Linked DNA regions of Mus musculus. The protein of the gene in region 1 purifies or fractionates together with the protein of each later gene. This does not show direct contact. Links are inferred from orthologs where the notes say so. Each region holds a gene or a part of one and is shown in the gene's direction. Other genes may lie near its edges.

Region 1 (8,986 bases):
AATACTCTCATTCATGTGGCCCGCATATTTCTTTCAGATCTGTATTATCACTTTGCATTGAATAAACTATTCTTGCTACTATGCTTCTTATATTTGTGTCCGCATCTCATCTTGAGTGTAGTCAGAGAATGACGTGTGGGAATCAGTTCTCTTCCTTGTAACATAATTCCTAGGGATTAAACTGAGGGCGTCAGTCTTGGTGGCAGACTCTTACCCACTGAGCCATCTCACTGGTCCTGTGTCTCTGAGGCAGTGTCTCTATATTCCTATTCAATCTCTTGAGTATTGAAATTATAGGCACGTGCTACTACACCTGGCCGTTGAGCAGTCCTATATAAATAAACAACATGTCTTATGAATGGTGACAGTACAGGGTGAGCATTTGGAATGTAGTATTGCCTAAGGTTCAGTGGATACATATTCCCCCCTACCTCATCCCTAGGCTCAGGATACAACACAGGGCTTTATCAGTGCTAGGTAAATGTCCCACCACTGAGCCACATCCCTAAGATCCATTTAATGTTCTTTTGCATACTCCCTCATAAGATCATTATGTCAGTAGAACTTTGGGAAAATTTCTAACACCTTTGCTTCTCCATTGTCCTAGGTTGGCCTTATATAATTCACGTTTCCTGAATCTCTGCTCTGAGATGGATGGTCGAGTCCGGCCCCTTGTGTATACCTTACGCTGCTGGGCTCAGCATAATGGGCTGTCAGGTAAGAATGAGAACAGACTTGGCCCAAGTTTGTGTCAGGCAAAGGCAGGGATTTAGCAAGAAAAAAAGAGGTGGGCACAGAAACCAGGGCTTGTAAATACTTCTTCCTAACTTGAATTATTGGTTATTATCCAGGAGGTGGCCCCCTTCTCAATAACTACGCCTTGACGTTGTTAGTGATCTACTTCCTTCAGACCAGAGACCCTCCAGTACTTCCTACTGTGGCCCAGCTTACCCAGAGAGCAGGTACTGCAGAACGGCCTCTACTGTCATGACCTCAGCTTCATCTCACCCCTTCACACTTCAGAAGCCCCGAGATGAGATCTCTGGCTCTGCCCTTCCCAGAGATCAGAAGGCAGGCCCTCTGCCACCATCAATGGCAGACTCTGGGCTGACTGGCTCTGGGCTGACTGTCTCTTCTTACTGTCACAGGTGAAGGGGAACAGGTAGAAGTTGATGGCTGGGACTGTAGCTTCCCTAAGGATGCCTCAAGATTGGAGCCCAGCACCAACGTGGAGCCTCTCAGTGAGTCTGGGGAACCTGGTAGAAAACTGATTGTGATGACAGGCTCAAGAATAGGGGACATATACTTGTGTGCAAGGCATGCTCAAGAATAAGAGACATATATTATACTTGTGTGTAAGGCATGGTCTTCATAGTAGCCTATGGCAGCTGTTTTATGGATGGAAAAACACGTATCTTGGGCAGGCAAGTAAGAGGTGTATTCCCCAGTTTCCCTGCTCTCTAGGCCAAGCAGAAGCATCTGGGTCAGGCAGGGCATGGCTGGGTTTCTCAGGACACTTCTGAAGTCCTATGAAGGGAAGAGAGTCCCACTGAAGTAGCTGCAGGGATGTCCCAGTTATGGCTTCCAGGTGACCCCCTTTTTTCTAATCTGCCTCCATCAGGTTCCCTGCTGGCCCAGTTCTTCTCCTGCGTATCTTGCTTGGATCTTTCTGGCTCCCTGCTGTCCCTGCGGGAAGGTCGGCCATTGATGGTGGCAGAGGGCCTGCCTTCTGATCTCTGGGAAGGGCTGCGCCTTGGCCCCATGAATCTCCAGGACCCCTTTGACCTGAGTCACAATGTTGCAGCCAATGTGACCGGCCGGGTGGCTAAACGTCTGCAGAGCTGTTGTGGGGCAGCAGCCAGTTACTGCCGAAGTCTCCAGTACCAGCAGCGTTCCTCCCGGGGCCGGGACTGGGGACTGCTCCCGCTTTTGCAGCCCAGCTCCCCTAGCTCCCTGCTGTCTGCCAAGCTCATCCCCTTACCCTCTGCCCCCTTTCCACAGGTCATTATGGCTTTGGTGGATGTGTTAAGGGAAGCACTAGGATGCCACATAGAACAGGGAACCAAGAGACGACGGTCAGAAGGTGCCAGAATTAAAGACTCTCCCTTGGGAGGGGTGAACAAAAGACAGAGACTTGGTGGGCAAGAAAAGAGCTTCGAGGAAGGGAAAGAGGAGCCACAGGGATGTGCAGGGGACCACAGTGAAAATGAGGTAGAAGAAATGGTAATAGAGGTTCGAGAGACACCTCAGGACTGGGCCTTGTTGCACTCGGGACCACCAGAGGAGGAGTTGCCCCTGATGACTGCAAACTGTCTAGACAAGGCAGCTGAGCATAATCCCATGAAACCTGAAGTGGCTGGAGAAGGGTCTCAGGGTGAGACAGGGAAGGAGGCATCACACCCATCATCAGTGAGCTGGCGCTGTGCCTTGTGGCACCAAGTATGGCAGGGGAGGCGGCGTGCCCGGAGACGATTACAGCAACAAACCAAGGAAGAAGGTAGAGGAGGTCCCACCACAGGAGCAGAGTGGCTGGCAATGGAAGCTCGTGTGACCCAGGAACTAAAAGGACCCAATAGTGAGCAAGAGAGGCCGCCGGGGGAGCCCCTCCTCAGCTTTGTGGCATCTGCCTCCCAGGCTGAGCAGACACTCACTGTGGCCCCACTCCAGGACTCCCAAGGCCTGTTCCCTGGTCTTCATCATTTTCTACAGGGTTTTATCCCTCAAGCACTTAAAAATCTCCTCAAGTGAGGAACCAAACCTCAAAAACAATAAAGCTGCTAGTTTATTTCATACAGACATTTAATGTTCTTTTGCATACTCCCTCATAAGACCATTACGAGGTCTTTGTTTTCCTCCTGGTAACGCCTTTTTTCTTTGCCTCAATGTAGCTTCTGGCCTGACTACTCTAAAACAGTCCTATGACTTCCACTTCAGAGCTCTCCTTCCCACTTGCCAGCACTTTCCTAGGGAGTGCCACCTCCACGAGGCAAAGGCACTGATTTCTGAGAACAACCTTTGCCCACACGAGACTTGTCCTGCTGCTCCAGGTGATGGGAACCACAAATTTGGGTTTAGGGTTTGTCTTTTCTATCCTTTAACGTGAAAGAGAGTTCAAATTGCCCATAAGCTGGAGTCAAGATTTATTTTCAAATTTGGATATGTGTAAACTATTGTATCAGAACTGGGCTGCCTTACCCGACCCTCTGGGGCGCAGCCAAGCCTGAGTGGTGCTGGTGACGTGGCAAGTTGGTCCGTGCTGCTTTGTTGTGTAAGTTTTAACAGCACGGAGTTTAATCGGAGCAGACCTACTTTCAGATGTTTTCGGCCGTGGGCCCCAGCTGAACAGACAGACCCTTTACAGAAAAAACCCGAACAGGAACAAAAGGAATTCAGTAAATTGCCACCCCTTCCTTAAGGCAGTTCCTGTAGTTTGTCACGGGTTCCAGATACCAGCCTTCGAGGGGCGGTGCTTCCGCCGGGTTCTCACACTTTTCCCCTCCCTGGGTGAGCTCCGTCTCCTATCAGGCTTCCGATTGGTCGGCGACGCGGGCGGGGCAGGATCGTCCAGAGTTATACTACGCAGGCGCCCGCTCTCTGCGCTCCAGGCTGCGGGCCCCACCCCTCGCTTTTTCCAACTCAGCGGGGCTGTAGACGGAACTGTCGTGCGTATGCCTTTTATGCCGTCCTCGCTTTCCGGCCGCTGTTTCCACACTGCTCTCTCCTTTCCTCCTCCCTTGTCTCCTTTGCGGCTTACTTTGCGGCAGCACCGACAGCCCCACCCCCTTTCTCTGCGGAATCACCATGGCGGCTGGGGTAAGTTTGCCGGCTCCGGTGATTAGGGTCACCCTATCCACCGCCATCCTTTGCCTGAGTGGGGCCAGTCGGCGCCAGGGGAGTTTCAGACCCAAGCCGCGAGCCGATCTGGGGTTCACAAGCCGTACGGTCGGAGAGCATGGTTTCTAGGGCCTGGAGGGGAACTGAGGCTGGGGCTCAGAGGCTAGAGGTGGAACGTTCTGGGGTTGAGGAGAAAAAAGATGCTGGGTCTCCATTGTCTGGACCTTTAAAAAGTGTTTAACCTCACTGCCATTTTGAGGTGTGGCGTCTGAGCAGGTTGGTGGAACTTTTGCCACCGTTTTGTGGGACAACAACGAGGACGTGGAAAGGAGAGGGTCTTTGTGGGAAGGGGCGACTGGCACGTTGGGAGTTGACCTTCGGGGAGGTTTGGGAGCCAGAGGAATAAAGGGGGGGTGAAGTGAGCCCATATGGACCCTGCTGGTGAGATTTTAGTAGGGAGACAACTGGGAACTCACTGCAGGACAGGACCAGAGGGTTGCTAATTCGCCATGTGCAAAGAAAGGCATTTCAGGAAGAATAACTGATGAACATTAGAATTCAGCGTGTCGATTCTGAGGGGAACTTTGAAATCCCTTGGTCTGTGTGTGTGCTTTTGAAGTGATAGCAGCCTGGAAGTAGTTAGACTCCGGGTCACCGCCAATGAATGAAACAAGGGTTCTGGGAGAGATGGGTGTGAGTGTTCGTGTGTTTAGGCAGATGGGACCAGAAGTTTTGAAGGGAAGAATGCCTCTAGAGATGTCCTTAAGAGAGGTCACATCTGTCGGTAAGCTTTATTTAGCAGCTGGGATGTTCTTCTTGGTATTTCAGAGGACTCTGATTACATGGGGCATACTCGGTTCACTAGGAGTGAATCTAAGCTGTGCACATTGGAATTGCATGGAAGTGTGCGTGGGGAGTGGCATTCAGGGTTCCTTGCCTCTAGTCCATCCTTCACCCTTTCTCTTGTAGACCCTGTACACATACCCTGAAAATTGGAGGGCCTTCAAGGCCCTCATCGCTGCTCAGTACAGCGGGGCTCAGGTCCGCGTGCTCTCCGCACCACCCCACTTCCACTTTGGCCAAACCAACCGCACCCCTGAATTTCTCCGAAAATTTCCTGCCGGCAAGGTGAGTGGGGAAGCATCTGGGATCTCTAGAATTCCATTATTCTGGAGATGGCCCCCATGGTGTGTGTGTGTGTGTATTTATTTATATATATATTTTTTTAAAGAAATTTTAAGGGGCTAGGAATGTAACCTATTAAAGCCTCTGAACTTGACTGCCCAAAGGAAAAAAATAATTTTGAAAGCTCCCGGAGACCGAGGCAGGGAGATTGTGTGAAGCAAGCCTATAAGTATAGTAAGATCCTGTCTCCATTGTAATTATGAAGTTCCATTGTATTCACAGCTGTTCAGTGACTGTCAGGAGTTCCAGGCCTGGTTTATATTTGTAGGATAAAATGTATTTTCACCAGGTGTTATCTGTATGTATGTACTAAGTATGTCTTGAGAGTTGGATTCTTACCCCATAGAGCATGAGTAGAGCTAAATATCCAAATCTAAATATAGAGGCAAATGCTAAGTCTGGATGGCACCTAATGATTTGGGCAGTGAAGCTGTGGGATTGTTGGGTGGCATCCATATCTGAATTTGTTTATTTTGAGGTGGGGTCTCAGTAGCTTGCTGGCTGGTTTCAGACAAGGGTATGGGGCACCACACTTTAGCTATGTTTGAATTTCACCCTTGTGAATTCATATCATGAGGGATACTAAGTAATTTTCACTTCTGAGCTTGAGATGTCATGAATTAGCGTAGCAAGAGTTGTCTGTCTTAACATATTATTTAGAACAATTCAGCCTGGAGAATTGGCTACTGAGAAATCTCTGTGTTTATGTTTTCTGCTACTTTCTCCACAGGTTCCAGCATTTGAGGGTGATGATGGATTCTGTGTGTTTGAGAGCAATGCCATTGCCTATTATGGTAATTTGTGGGGATACAGGCGTGAGAGGGTATGGGGGTAAGGCTGTAGAAGCGGCTGTGGCGGACAAGGTGGAATCAGAGACCCGGCTTGGTTTTGGCATGAGGTCAAAGTTCTAAGCTCTATGTCTGCCTTTGCAGTAAGCAATGAGGAGCTGCGAGGAAGTACGCCAGAGGCGGCAGCTCAGGTGGTGCAGTGGGTCAGCTTTGCTGACAGTGACATCGTTCCTCCAGCTAGTACCTGGGTGTTCCCCACCTTGGGCATTATGCACCACAACAAACAGGTACGCTTTGGAACTTGGGGAGAAGCTGGGCCAGAGATAGAGTCAGAGCCTACATTTTGGGACTGGGAGACAGATGAAGGAAAAGATAGCAGGAGTGTGGGGGCAATGCAGACTAAAGTGGCTACCATCAGTATGGTGCAAATAAAGTCATGTTGATCATGAAGATATCTAACACGAGTGATTTCATTTCTGATAAGTTTCAACTGATTCTAGAGTCTAATGATAGAGGGTGGGGGTTGAGTCGATGGCTGGTTAAATGGCTTCTTTAGTTCTGTTGGTGGGGGGATCTGAGGAAAGGGACTTGGTACCCACTAAGCTTGAGTATTCAAAACAACAGGCCACTGAAAATGCGAAAGAGGAGGTGAAGCGAATCCTGGGGCTGCTGGACACTCACTTGAAGACTCGAACTTTTCTAGTGGGCGAGCGAGTGACACTGGCTGATATTACAGTTGTCTGTACCCTGTTGTGGCTCTATAAACAGGTAAGGTTTATATCCCATGTGACAGGGGTTAGACCTGTATTAGGGTAACCCTGTTTTTGCTTAAGACAGACCAGTAGTTAATGATTGTAGGGATCCCAACAGTGAGAACTGTGACTGTTTCCATCTTATTAAAGATGGATAAAGGCTGCGTGTGGTAGCTCATACTTGTGTAATCCCAGCACTTGAGATACTGAGACAGGAGGATCATTCTGGTTTAAGGCCACCCTAGGCTACATAGTGATATCAAAAATAGAAAGCAAAAATCAAAGATGTAAGAGACAGGGATAGTGACTGCAGCAGCGAGAGCTTTTGGAGGCAGATTCAGGTCTCTGTCTTAACTTCAGTGTTTAAAGATGCAGTGGTATAAGAATTCTCATAGTTATTTATCTGTGATAAGTCCAAGGTGGTATTCAGCTTATGTCTACATGTATTTGCATATGTGTGTGCATGCATGCAGATCCCAAGGAGCTTGAGTTACAGATGGCTGTGAGCTACTATGTGTGTGCTAGGAATCAAACCAGGTAGCCATCCCCAGCTGCCCCCAACCCCCATGTTTGTTTTTTTTTTTTTTTTTAATATTGTGTTGCTGATTTCTAGGCGGCAGCAGCTCTGGACCCATTCTGGTTCAGAATTACAGTCCAGTGAGAACAAAAAAAAATGCCATTGTTTGCCAGACTGGTGTGCCTCACAGGGTTCATTATAATCCTTCCATGGCCACAACACACAGCAAGTACATGTTCAAGTCACTGCAGAACTTGCGGTGCGTGACTAACTGAATTCTGTGATCTGTCTCCATGATTTACCCTTCTACCCACTCCTGTTTTGACAAAGTAGAAAATGACAGGGGCTGGAGAGATGAGTCAATAGTTTTAAAAAATGCTTGCTGCTCTTCCAGAGGACTCTGGTGGATTCTCAGCACCCACACGCTTCTCACAACTGGAACTCCATTTCCAGAAGATCTGATGTTCCAGCTTCCGTGAGCCCTAGGAATGCACGTGGTGCATAGACAAACGCACAGGCAAGACACCCAGATACAGAAAAGTACCAAACAGGAGCTTGTAAGATGGTAGTGTGGGGCAGGAGAGATGGCTCAGCACTCGAAGAGTTCTTGTTTTGCAGAGGCTATGTTTATTTCCCAATACACAAATGGCAGCTTAAAACTATATAACGCCAACTCGGGGAGCCGGTGTTTTATGATCTAAGTGGGCACAGATATACTTGGAAGAAAAGCACTAAAACATAAGAATGAATGTAAGTTTTTCAAGGACGAGGTTTGAAGGAAGGACTGTGTTGTGTCTGCTGGGCACGTGCTGTGTTGCTGCTCTATCTAGTCTTGGGTTGCTTGTGCCTTCTGTGTGTGTTAGAGTCGCAGTGCGGGGCTAGCGTGGAGCCCAGTGATTTACCTGGCATGCTTTATGTCCCATTCCTAGCATCACACACGAAGTATCTTTTTTTGGAGGGTTGTCATAGCAAAATAAGTGTGGTAGTCACCCCACTCTACCCCATTTGGGTGCTGATTTGGAACCCGGTGCCTTGACCAATGTCTGGGTCACCTGCTACTAAGCCACATTCCTAGCCCCCCCCGGTACTCTAGACAGGCTCTTCTTACAGCCTTTTCAATCTTTTTTGGGGGGGTGGGGGGGATAGGGTTTCTCTGTAGACCAGGCTGCCCTAAAACTCAGCTCTGCCTGCCTCTGCTTTGCTTTCTTGGTGCTGGGATTGTTGGCATGAAATTTTTAAAATTAAGAATAGATGAAAGAGGGGCTAGAGAGATGGCTCAGTGGTTAAGAGCGCCAGCTGCTTTTCCAGAGGTCCTGAGTTCAATTCCCAGCAACCACATGGTGGCTCACAACCATCTGTAATAGGATCTGATGCCCTCTTCTGGTGTGGCTGAAGACACACCAGTACTCACTTACATGAAATAAATAAAACTTTAAAAGAAAAGAATAGATGAAAGAGCAGAATATGAAATCATTAAGTAGCAATGGTGCATGAAGGACTGGGAACAGCCATCCTCGACTGAACTAAAGACGAGGGAGAAAGCGCCTATACTCCCAGCACAGCAGAGTGGAGATGGGAGGATCCTGATGTGAAAGGCTCACTTGGGTTATGTAATAAAGCTGACTGAAACACAGAGAATACTGGAAAGAGCTCAACAGTTATGTGGTTAAGGGCAATGGCCACCCTTCCGCCAGGGTTTAATTACCAGCACCCATATAATGCCTCAGTCATCTACAGCTCCATTTCCAAGGGATCCTGGCACTGTCTTACGGCCTCAGGGAACACTGCATGTATGTCGTATATGTGTATATGTAGGTAAAACACTCAATACACATAAAAGGAGTCTTCTTTGAAAACTTTTCTTTGAAAAGGAGTCTTCCTGGAGGTGTAGTCATTTAAGGTTCTGATGT
Region 2 (8,859 bases), on another chromosome or scaffold:
GGCCGGCAGATCCCAGTGAATTCGAGGCTGGCCTGGTCTACAAAGTGAGTTCCAGGACAGCCAGGGATGTTACATAGAGAAACTTTGTCTTGAAAACTAAAGAAGACAAAATAAAAGATGTGTACTATTCTATTACCCCAATAATATATAAGCCCAAACCATTGGAAGCATATATTGCTAAAGCAAGCATGGAAAATAATATCTCGATAATATCTCGTGTGGGACAGATACCACTACTGTATACACTAATGTATCCCACCGCTGACTGTGGGAAACAAGCTGCAAAGAGGAGTCTCTAGCCAGTGTCTCCAAGGAAATAAATGAGAGAGAGAGCAGAGAGTGGGTTCTGTTGCTGCCGATGGGTTTTCGAGTATTTCTTACAATTTCTCCTGTTACAAATAGGCAGTAGGGTATCAAGATAATTCTATCCTGTATGCATATGACTGGCTAGGGACCCCAGAAAAATTCTGTGTGGAAAAAAAGAATTTGTGAAATGAGAGAGGCTAATGTGGACATTACAGAAAAGGCTTTTGTGTGCCTAGCACGCATAGAATAGATCCTGTGTGTGATCCTTTAACAACCTCATTGACCAGAAAAAGAAAAGGCTTCTGTGGATAGCAAATGATTAGTTATATGTATATACTTGGAGGGAAACGTTGTCCTGGATTCTTTGATTACAATTACCAGTGTTAGATGAAAATGAAGCTAGAAGCCACCTGATGAGTGAGAAAATCTGCCTTTAGGAAGTTATAAGGATCTGTAAACTAAGAATTAGGAAGGCTATTACAGGGTCTTTGTTTCTCACTTAGGCAAGAAAAGAAGCCTGGGGTGGGGGTGGGAGGGCTGTGGGGAGGATGCGGGGTGGGGGGGCACACCTGAGATCCCAGTACTTGAGAAGTGGAGCTAGGAAGATTAGAAATTGAAGGCCAGCAGGGCATGGTGGTGCATACCTTTAATCCCAGCACTCGGGAGGCAGAGGCAGGCGGATTTCTGAGTTCGAGGCCAGCCTGGTCTACAAAGTGAGCTCTAGGACAGCCAGGGCTACACAGAGAAACCCTGTCTCGAAAAACCAAAAAAAAAAAAAAAAAATTGAAGGCCAGCCTCAGCAACATGAGTTTGAGGCCAGCCTGAGCTACATCAAGTTCTGTTTCAAACAAAAACAAAAGTAGGACATGAAATGGCTCTCTGGGTACAGGCGTTTGCTGCAAAGCCTGACTGAGTTAGATCCCATAGGTCCACGTAGTTGAGGGGCAAACCTGCCCCACGAAAGGTGGCCTCTGGCCTCTGGCCTCCGCACAGGGTGATGTGGCACACGCATTCACACACACTAAATAAATACCACTTTTAAAAAAAAGTTAAAAAACAACAGTTTGGGATGTGAAAAATAGTTGAAAACTAGAACTAGACAAGAAATGAGAAGCATCATGTAAATTTGCTTTGAACTGGTTCCAAATTGTTTTATATTTAAGTTTTTCCCTTGACTGTGGAACTCTTCCCCAGAAACAAATAGTTCCTTTGCAAATCCTGTGTGTTTTTGTGAACACTAGACAGAGGCCCTCAAATGCTCCTAGTAAGGTTGGTGCAAGAACATCAAATGTTTGTAACTGGGAAGTGATGTTGTACACCTGGGAGAGGAGATCCAATGATGGATAATCAGATAGGATATCTTTGAGCTAGGAACTGTAACTTGGTGATAGACACCCTAGGGTTCCATCTCCAGCACCCCATATCCCATTACAAAATAATTCTTTTTCCATCTCTAGCATTAAAAAACAAAACAAAGAAGTTCTTCTTTCCTCTGAGAAACACTTCTGTGTGCCTGCTCTGAGAGGCATTTAAAAATGGCCAGGGCTTTAATCCCAGCAGGTCCAGGTCGGATTCCTGTGAATTTGAAGTCAGCCTGGTCTACTACCTATTCCAGGGCAGCCAGGGCTAAAAAAGAGAGACCTTGTCTCAATAACAAAACAATGCTGGTATGATCGCTAGAATTGCAGCAAAGAAAGGGATGTAACTAACAAGGCAAGCCATTTTTGAGAAGCAGTGATTTCACAAGTGTTAGGGATGGGCGCTGGGAGATTGCTGATGCTGGTATTTAGATGAGACCATGTGGGGTGGATTAGATTATTTTCAGGTTTCTCATGTTCAATCAAATGGCTGTACATACACATGTACACATACAATCTTTTTAGTGTAACAAACCTAGAATCAAAGTAAAGCTAACTGTAGGATTGAAGCATATTCTGAACTGAACCCTTAGGGGTGTGAAGGCCGCTTCAGGTTTCCAGAGAATCAACCGGCATTGGATGGAATAAACCAAGGGGCCAGCCCAGGGGCAGATCGGTCGAGCTCTCCGCTACTGAGCTAAGCCCTTGGGTTCTAGAGCCGGGAAGGGTCCCCAACATTGTGTTCCTCTCCCAGCCAGGAGAGCATGGGCTGCGGGAGGCGAACAGAAGGATAGCGGGGCTGACGTCGGGAGGTGGCCTCCGTGGGAAGGGACACCCGGATCTTGACACAGCCTTGGCAGCGGAGTAAGGAAGAGTAGGGATAGATTCTGGCCGCCCTCTTGGCCAGCTTCTCGCCGCCCCACCCTCCGCTAGGGCCAAGAGTAATTCATACAAAAGGAGGGATCGCCTTCGCCTGGGGAAGTCCCAGGGACCGTCGCTAAATTCTCATAACCCATAATCCCGGTACCCGCCCCACCACAGTGCGAGGAGCATGCGCTCAGGGCTGAGCGCGGGGAGAGCAGAGCACACAAGCTCATAGACCCTGGTCGTGGGGGGAGGGGCGCACTGAGCGGGGGGGGGGGGGGTGATGGGGGGGAGGACCGGGGAGCTGGCGCGGGGCAAACTGGGAAAGCGGTGTCGTGTGCTGGCTCCGCCCTCTTCCCGAGGGTGGGGGAGAACGGTATATAAGTGCGGCAGTCGCCTTGGACGTTCTTTTTCGCAACGGGTTTGCCGTCAGAACGCAGGTGAGGGGCGGGTGTGGCTTCCGCGGGCCGCCGAGCTGGAGGTCCTGCTCCGAGCGGGCCGGGCCCCGCTGTCGTCGGCGGGGATTAGCTGCGAGCATTCCCGCTTCGAGTTGCGGGCGGCGCGGGAGGCAGAGTGCGAGGCCTAGCGGCAACCCCGTAGCCTCGCCTCGTGTCCGGCTTGAGGCCTAGCGTGGTGTCCGCGCCGCCGCCGCGTGCTACTCCGGCCGCACTCTGGTCTTTTTTTTTTTGTTGTTGTTGTTGCCCTGCTGCCTTCGATTGCCGTTCAGCAATAGGGGCTAACAAAGGGAGGGTGCGGGGCTTGCTCGCCCGGAGCCCGGAGAGGTCATGGTTGGGGAGGAATGGAGGGACAGGAGTGGCGGCTGGGGCCCGCCCGCCTTCGGAGCACATGTCCGACGCCACCTGGATGGGGCGAGGCCTGGGGTTTTTCCCGAAGCAACCAGGCTGGGGTTAGCGTGCCGAGGCCATGTGGCCCCAGCACCCGGCACGATCTGGCTTGGCGGCGCCGCGTTGCCCTGCCTCCCTAACTAGGGTGAGGCCATCCCGTCCGGCACCAGTTGCGTGCGTGGAAAGATGGCCGCTCCCGGGCCCTGTTGCAAGGAGCTCAAAATGGAGGACGCGGCAGCCCGGTGGAGCGGGCGGGTGAGTCACCCACACAAAGGAAGAGGGCCTGGTCCCTCACCGGCTGCTGCTTCCTGTGACCCCGTGGTCCTATCGGCCGCAATAGTCACCTCGGGCTTTTGAGCACGGCTAGTCGCGGCGGGGGGAGGGGATGTAATGGCGTTGGAGTTTGTTCACATTTGGTGGGTGGAGACTAGTCAGGCCAGCCTGGCGCTGGAAGTCATTTTTGGAATTTGTCCCCTTGAGTTTTGAGCGGAGCTAATTCTCGGGCTTCTTAGCGGTTCAAAGGTATCTTTTAAACCCTTTTTTAGGTGTTGTGAAAACCACCGCTAATTCAAAGCAAAAATGGGAAAGGAAAAGACTCACATCAACATCGTCGTAATCGGACACGTAGATTCCGGCAAGTCCACCACAACCGGCCACCTGATCTACAAATGTGGTGGAATCGACAAGCGAACCATCGAAAAGTTTGAGAAGGAGGCTGCTGAGGCAAGTATAAGGCAAAAGGAGGGATGGGAATTCTTTAAGCAGGGAGTAGAACCTAGGTCTTGGGTGTACTAATTAGAAGTCACTTTGCAGATGGGAAAGGGCTCCTTCAAGTACGCCTGGGTCTTAGACAAACTGAAAGCTGAGCGTGAGCGTGGTATCACTATTGACATCTCCCTGTGGAAATTCGAGACCAGCAAATACTATGTGACCATCATTGATGCCCCAGGACACAGAGACTTCATCAAAAACATGATTACAGGCACATCCCAGGTGTGTAAAATTTACCCATTCCTGACTCAGGATATTTTTTAGTGGGGTGCTTTCTCTGAGATAATGGTATATGATTGTCTTGTTTCTTACAGGCTGACTGTGCTGTCCTGATTGTTGCTGCTGGTGTTGGTGAATTTGAAGCTGGTATCTCCAAGAACGGGCAGACCCGCGAGCATGCTCTTCTGGCTTACACCCTGGGTGTGAAACAGCTGATTGTTGGTGTCAACAAAATGGATTCCACCGAGCCACCATACAGTCAGAAGAGATACGAGGAAATCGTTAAGGAAGTCAGCACCTACATTAAGAAAATTGGCTACAACCCTGACACAGTAGCATTTGTGCCAATTTCTGGTTGGAATGGTGACAACATGCTGGAGCCAAGTGCTAATGTAAGTGACTTTTAAGGTAGTTGAATGGAGAAAGCCGCAATAAGTAAGGAGGTTATAATTGACTGCCTGTGTTTTAGATGCCTTGGTTCAAGGGATGGAAAGTCACCCGCAAAGATGGCAGTGCCAGTGGCACCACGCTGCTGGAAGCTTTGGATTGTATCCTACCACCAACTCGTCCAACTGACAAGCCCCTGCGACTGCCCCTCCAGGATGTCTATAAAATTGGAGGTAAGTAGAATATTAAGTAGAATGTTGACGTGAATTTGAAGTCTTATGTTTTGTGTATTAAATACTTATACAAAACAATACTATTTTAGGCATTGGCACTGTCCCTGTGGGCCGAGTGGAGACTGGTGTTCTCAAGCCTGGCATGGTGGTTACCTTTGCTCCAGTCAATGTAACAACTGAAGTCAAGTCTGTTGAAATGCACCATGAAGCTTTGAGTGAAGCTCTTCCTGGGGACAATGTGGGCTTCAATGTAAAGAACGTGTCGGTCAAAGATGTTAGACGAGGCAATGTTGCTGGTGACAGCAAAAACGACCCACCAATGGAAGCAGCTGGCTTCACTGCTCAGGTGACACATTTTTAAGATAGGTGGCTAGATTGGTTGTGTGTGCAGAATCACAAGGCAAGACTTAAATACACGCTGTTTTTCTTAGGTGATTATCCTGAACCATCCAGGCCAAATCAGTGCTGGCTACGCTCCTGTTCTGGATTGTCACACAGCCCACATAGCATGCAAGTTTGCTGAGCTTAAAGAAAAGATCGATCGTCGTTCTGGTAAGAAGCTGGAAGATGGCCCCAAGTTCCTGAAGTCTGGCGATGCTGCCATTGTTGATATGGTCCCTGGCAAGCCCATGTGTGTTGAGAGCTTCTCTGACTACCCTCCACTTGGTAAGCCTGATCTGAGTCTGCTACACTGAACATCAAGTTTGTAATAGGAAATGTTGCTTGCATAGCAAAGATACTGATAAATGGCATTTTTCTATATAGGTCGCTTTGCTGTTCGTGACATGAGGCAGACAGTTGCTGTGGGTGTCATCAAAGCTGTGGACAAGAAGGCTGCTGGAGCTGGCAAAGTCACCAAGTCTGCCCAGAAAGCTCAGAAGGCTAAATGAATATTACCCCTAACACCTGCCACCCCAGTCTTAATCAGTGGTGGAAGAACGGTCTCAGAACTGTTTGTCTCAATTGGCCATTTAAGTTTAATAGTAAAAGACTGGTTAATGATAACAATGCATCGTAAAACCTTCAGAAGGAAAGAATGTTGTGGACCATTTTTTTTGTGTGTGGCAGTTTTAAGTTATTAGTTTTCAAAATCAGTACTTTTTAATGGAAACAACTTGACCAAAAATCTGTCACAGAATTTTGAGACCATTAAAACAAGTTTAATGAGAAATCTGTGTTGGTCAATGCTGAAAGTTAACTGACTGTATACAACAAAGGTACTGGGGTCCCCATGGTATGTTCTTAGGGATTGAGTTCTGGTTGTCTGGGTCTGCCCAGAACTGAGCTATAAACAGGGCTGATTTGGGTTAACTTCAAATCTTACTGGTGAGGACAAAGTAATTTTGCTGTATCAACCCAAGGTGTGGTATAGTTGGGCAGACTATACCTATACCCCAATCTGTCTGGATCTGCATGCAGTAGGTCAGACTTGGGTGTGACAGCTAAGTTTGATTTAGGCAGCATTGGAGTATGCTACCACATAGGATTACTGAGTGTGCTTTGTGAATATTGGAAATGAAGCAAGGTTGGACAATTACTTGAGCATTTCCTTCCACAATTACACAGGAGAGAACCTTAACTAAAAAGACCAATCTTGAATGAATAGGTGAGAACGAAGAGGCTAAGCAAAAGGGATTTTCTAAGATGAGCTTTTGCAAAACAAGCTGATGGTAGGGTGGTAGGAATACCTTCAATAATAAGGTAAAAGCTGTTCAGTATTTATACTGAGATTTTGGTTACAGTGACTGTACTTGTTGCCAGAACATGTAATTTGAAATAAGTTTCAAAACTGAGGCATGTTAGCCTGACTTTGGCAGAACAAACATGGGCTAGTCCCTGGAAGTGGATTGGCAAGACTGCATAGGATATGTCATGAAGTCCATGAGATGAAAACAGGTGGCCTAAGTTTAGATAATCTAGACTCAGAAAAGTGATGTGTAATAACCCCTTTGATATGGCAAAAACATCCAATGTGTCATCTTTACCCTTAGAGACTGGATAAAATTCTAGTGCTTGTGGGATTAAGGGTTGCTGTTGCTGCAAACTCTTTACTAAAGGCTTGTCAGTTCCTTAGTTGAGGTTATTTCAAGTAGGACTGGTTAAAATGGATTGCTAATAGTGAAATAGCTTAAGTAAGCTGTTAGACCCTAAATAAGAATCAAGACCTACCTGGGAAATTGATAGCAAGTGTCTGCTGGATACAAACACCGTTTTTCAAACCTGCACACTTACGTGTATAAGTGGAGTAGCACCATCTACTGGTGCTTTGAAGACAAAACATTCAGAATAAAAGCATGTTTCTGGGGATGGAATTCAGGGCCAAAGGTTTGGTAGGCAAGCCTTCCACCACGTGAGCTACATAGGTAGTCTTTAGTCTTGATTAAAATCAAACACGTGAAAGCTAAGTGCTCTAAAAGGCTAGCTGTTTAGATGTTATATGACTTTAGTGTGGACTTAGTGAAAATTTCCCCCGGTTTCTGGCACCCACATGATTTACAACAGTTCTAGTGGCCTGTCTGTACCAGGTCCATATACAGTACCCATGTAGGCAAAATCTTGAACTCTTTTAAAACATGTTTTTTAAAACATTTGGGCTTTAATGTGGGAGATAAAGGCTCCACATGGATAAGGCCAGTTGCTACTAATGAGTAGGGTTTAAAGTCAGTGCAGTCTCAGTCTGGGTTGCATAAGGGCTAGGGAGTCTTGACATCCTTAGAAATAAAAGTAAATGAAGGCAGGCTGGGCTTGAAAGGCTGGCGAGACAGTCTAGTCCCTAGATGCACATAGCAGAACATCCCTCAAGTTGTCCTTTGTCCAAAGGCACATGGCTCTTAAAATACTCTTGAGAATGCTGCCCCCACACTCCCTTATCTTGCAGTCAGGCTAGCCTCTGGGTCTAAATGAACCTCTTGGCAGTTCTTGGGAAAGGTACTGGGTGAACCTAGGGCCTTTGCATATGGTTGGAAGATACACTCCCACTGAGCAGTGATCCTCATTCCTTCAAAAGAATTGAGAGGCTCAGGCAGGCCTTGAACTTGTGATCTTTCTATCACAGCCCCCCTGAGAATGGAATTAGAAGCTTACTAGTAGGTTTGGCTCAATTTGAGTTTTGGAAAACTTGACTTACAAGGCATTTTTCTGAGCTACAGTTTTGTCTATCCCTGGATGTCCTGGAACTTACTCTGTAGACTAGGTTGGCCTGGAAATCCGAAATCTACCTGCCCGTGCTTCCCAAGGCTTGGACTAAAAGCATGTGCCACCACACCAACTAAAAAGCCAATTTGTTATCTAAAAAAACAATTTAAAAAAAAAAAGATTTATTTATTATATGTAAGTACACTGTAGCTGTCTCAGACACACCAGAAGAGGGCATCTGATCTCATTACAGATGGTTGTGAGCCACCATGTGGTTGCTGGGATTTGAACTCAGGACCTTCAGAAGAGCAATCAGTGCTCTTAACCGTTGAGCCATCTCATCAGCCCCGTTTTTTTCTTTCTTGAGAGAGGGTCTTGAACAGTCTACACTGGCTTTGAATTTGCTACGTAGGCAAGACTGATACATACCACCATGTACAGCGGAGTTTTATGAAAATTTGCCTGGGGTGCTTTATTGTAGTCTTGGATTTTTCAGAAGTTGAGGCAGGAGGATCATTTGAGGATAGGGATTTGAGGCCAGCTTGGACAAAATGACTTTTTTTTTTTTTTTTTTAAAGAATTATATATGTGGGGCTGGTGAGATGGCTCAGTGGGTAAGAGCACCTGACTGCTCTTCCGAAGGTCCAGAGTTCAAATCCCAGCAACACATGGTGGCTCACAACCATCTGTAACAAGATCTGACTCCCTCTTCTGGTGTGTCTGAAGACAGCTACAGTGTAC

The links.
Region 2: the proteins of Eef1g (region 1) and Eef1a1 purify together in Homo sapiens (affinity purification with mass spectrometry; 5 studies listed by BioGRID and IntAct, counting the BioPlex papers as one, with this or other methods). This does not show direct contact. The link is inferred for Mus musculus from reciprocal best matches to the Homo sapiens genes EEF1G and EEF1A1.

What each region holds. Positions count from the first base shown.
Region 1 is NC_000085.6:8,963,413-8,972,398, forward strand, and holds the start of Eef1g (elongation factor 1-gamma), read left to right. Parts: upstream 1-3,628; 5' UTR 3,629-3,801; coding exon 3,802-3,813; intron 3,814-4,803; coding exon 4,804-4,962; intron 4,963-5,749; coding exon 5,750-5,813; intron 5,814-5,951; coding exon 5,952-6,094; intron 6,095-6,431; coding exon 6,432-6,575; intron 6,576-8,986. Other genes in the region: Tut1 (speckle targeted PIP5K1A-regulated poly(A) polymerase), read left to right, coding at 608-717, 852-962, 1,149-1,241, 1,622-2,748. UniProt on the Homo sapiens protein: Probably plays a role in anchoring the complex to other cellular components.
Region 2 is NC_000075.6:78,475,748-78,484,606, reverse strand, and holds Eef1a1 (elongation factor 1-alpha 1), read left to right. Parts: upstream 1-2,882; 5' UTR 2,883-2,968; intron 2,969-3,918; 5' UTR 3,919-3,952; coding exon 3,953-4,096; intron 4,097-4,186; coding exon 4,187-4,366; intron 4,367-4,458; coding exon 4,459-4,755; intron 4,756-4,832; coding exon 4,833-4,983; intron 4,984-5,072; coding exon 5,073-5,329; intron 5,330-5,414; coding exon 5,415-5,649; intron 5,650-5,748; coding exon 5,749-5,873; 3' UTR 5,874-6,154; downstream 6,155-8,859. UniProt on the Homo sapiens protein: Translation elongation factor that catalyzes the GTP-dependent binding of aminoacyl-tRNA (aa-tRNA) to the A-site of ribosomes during the elongation phase of protein synthesis.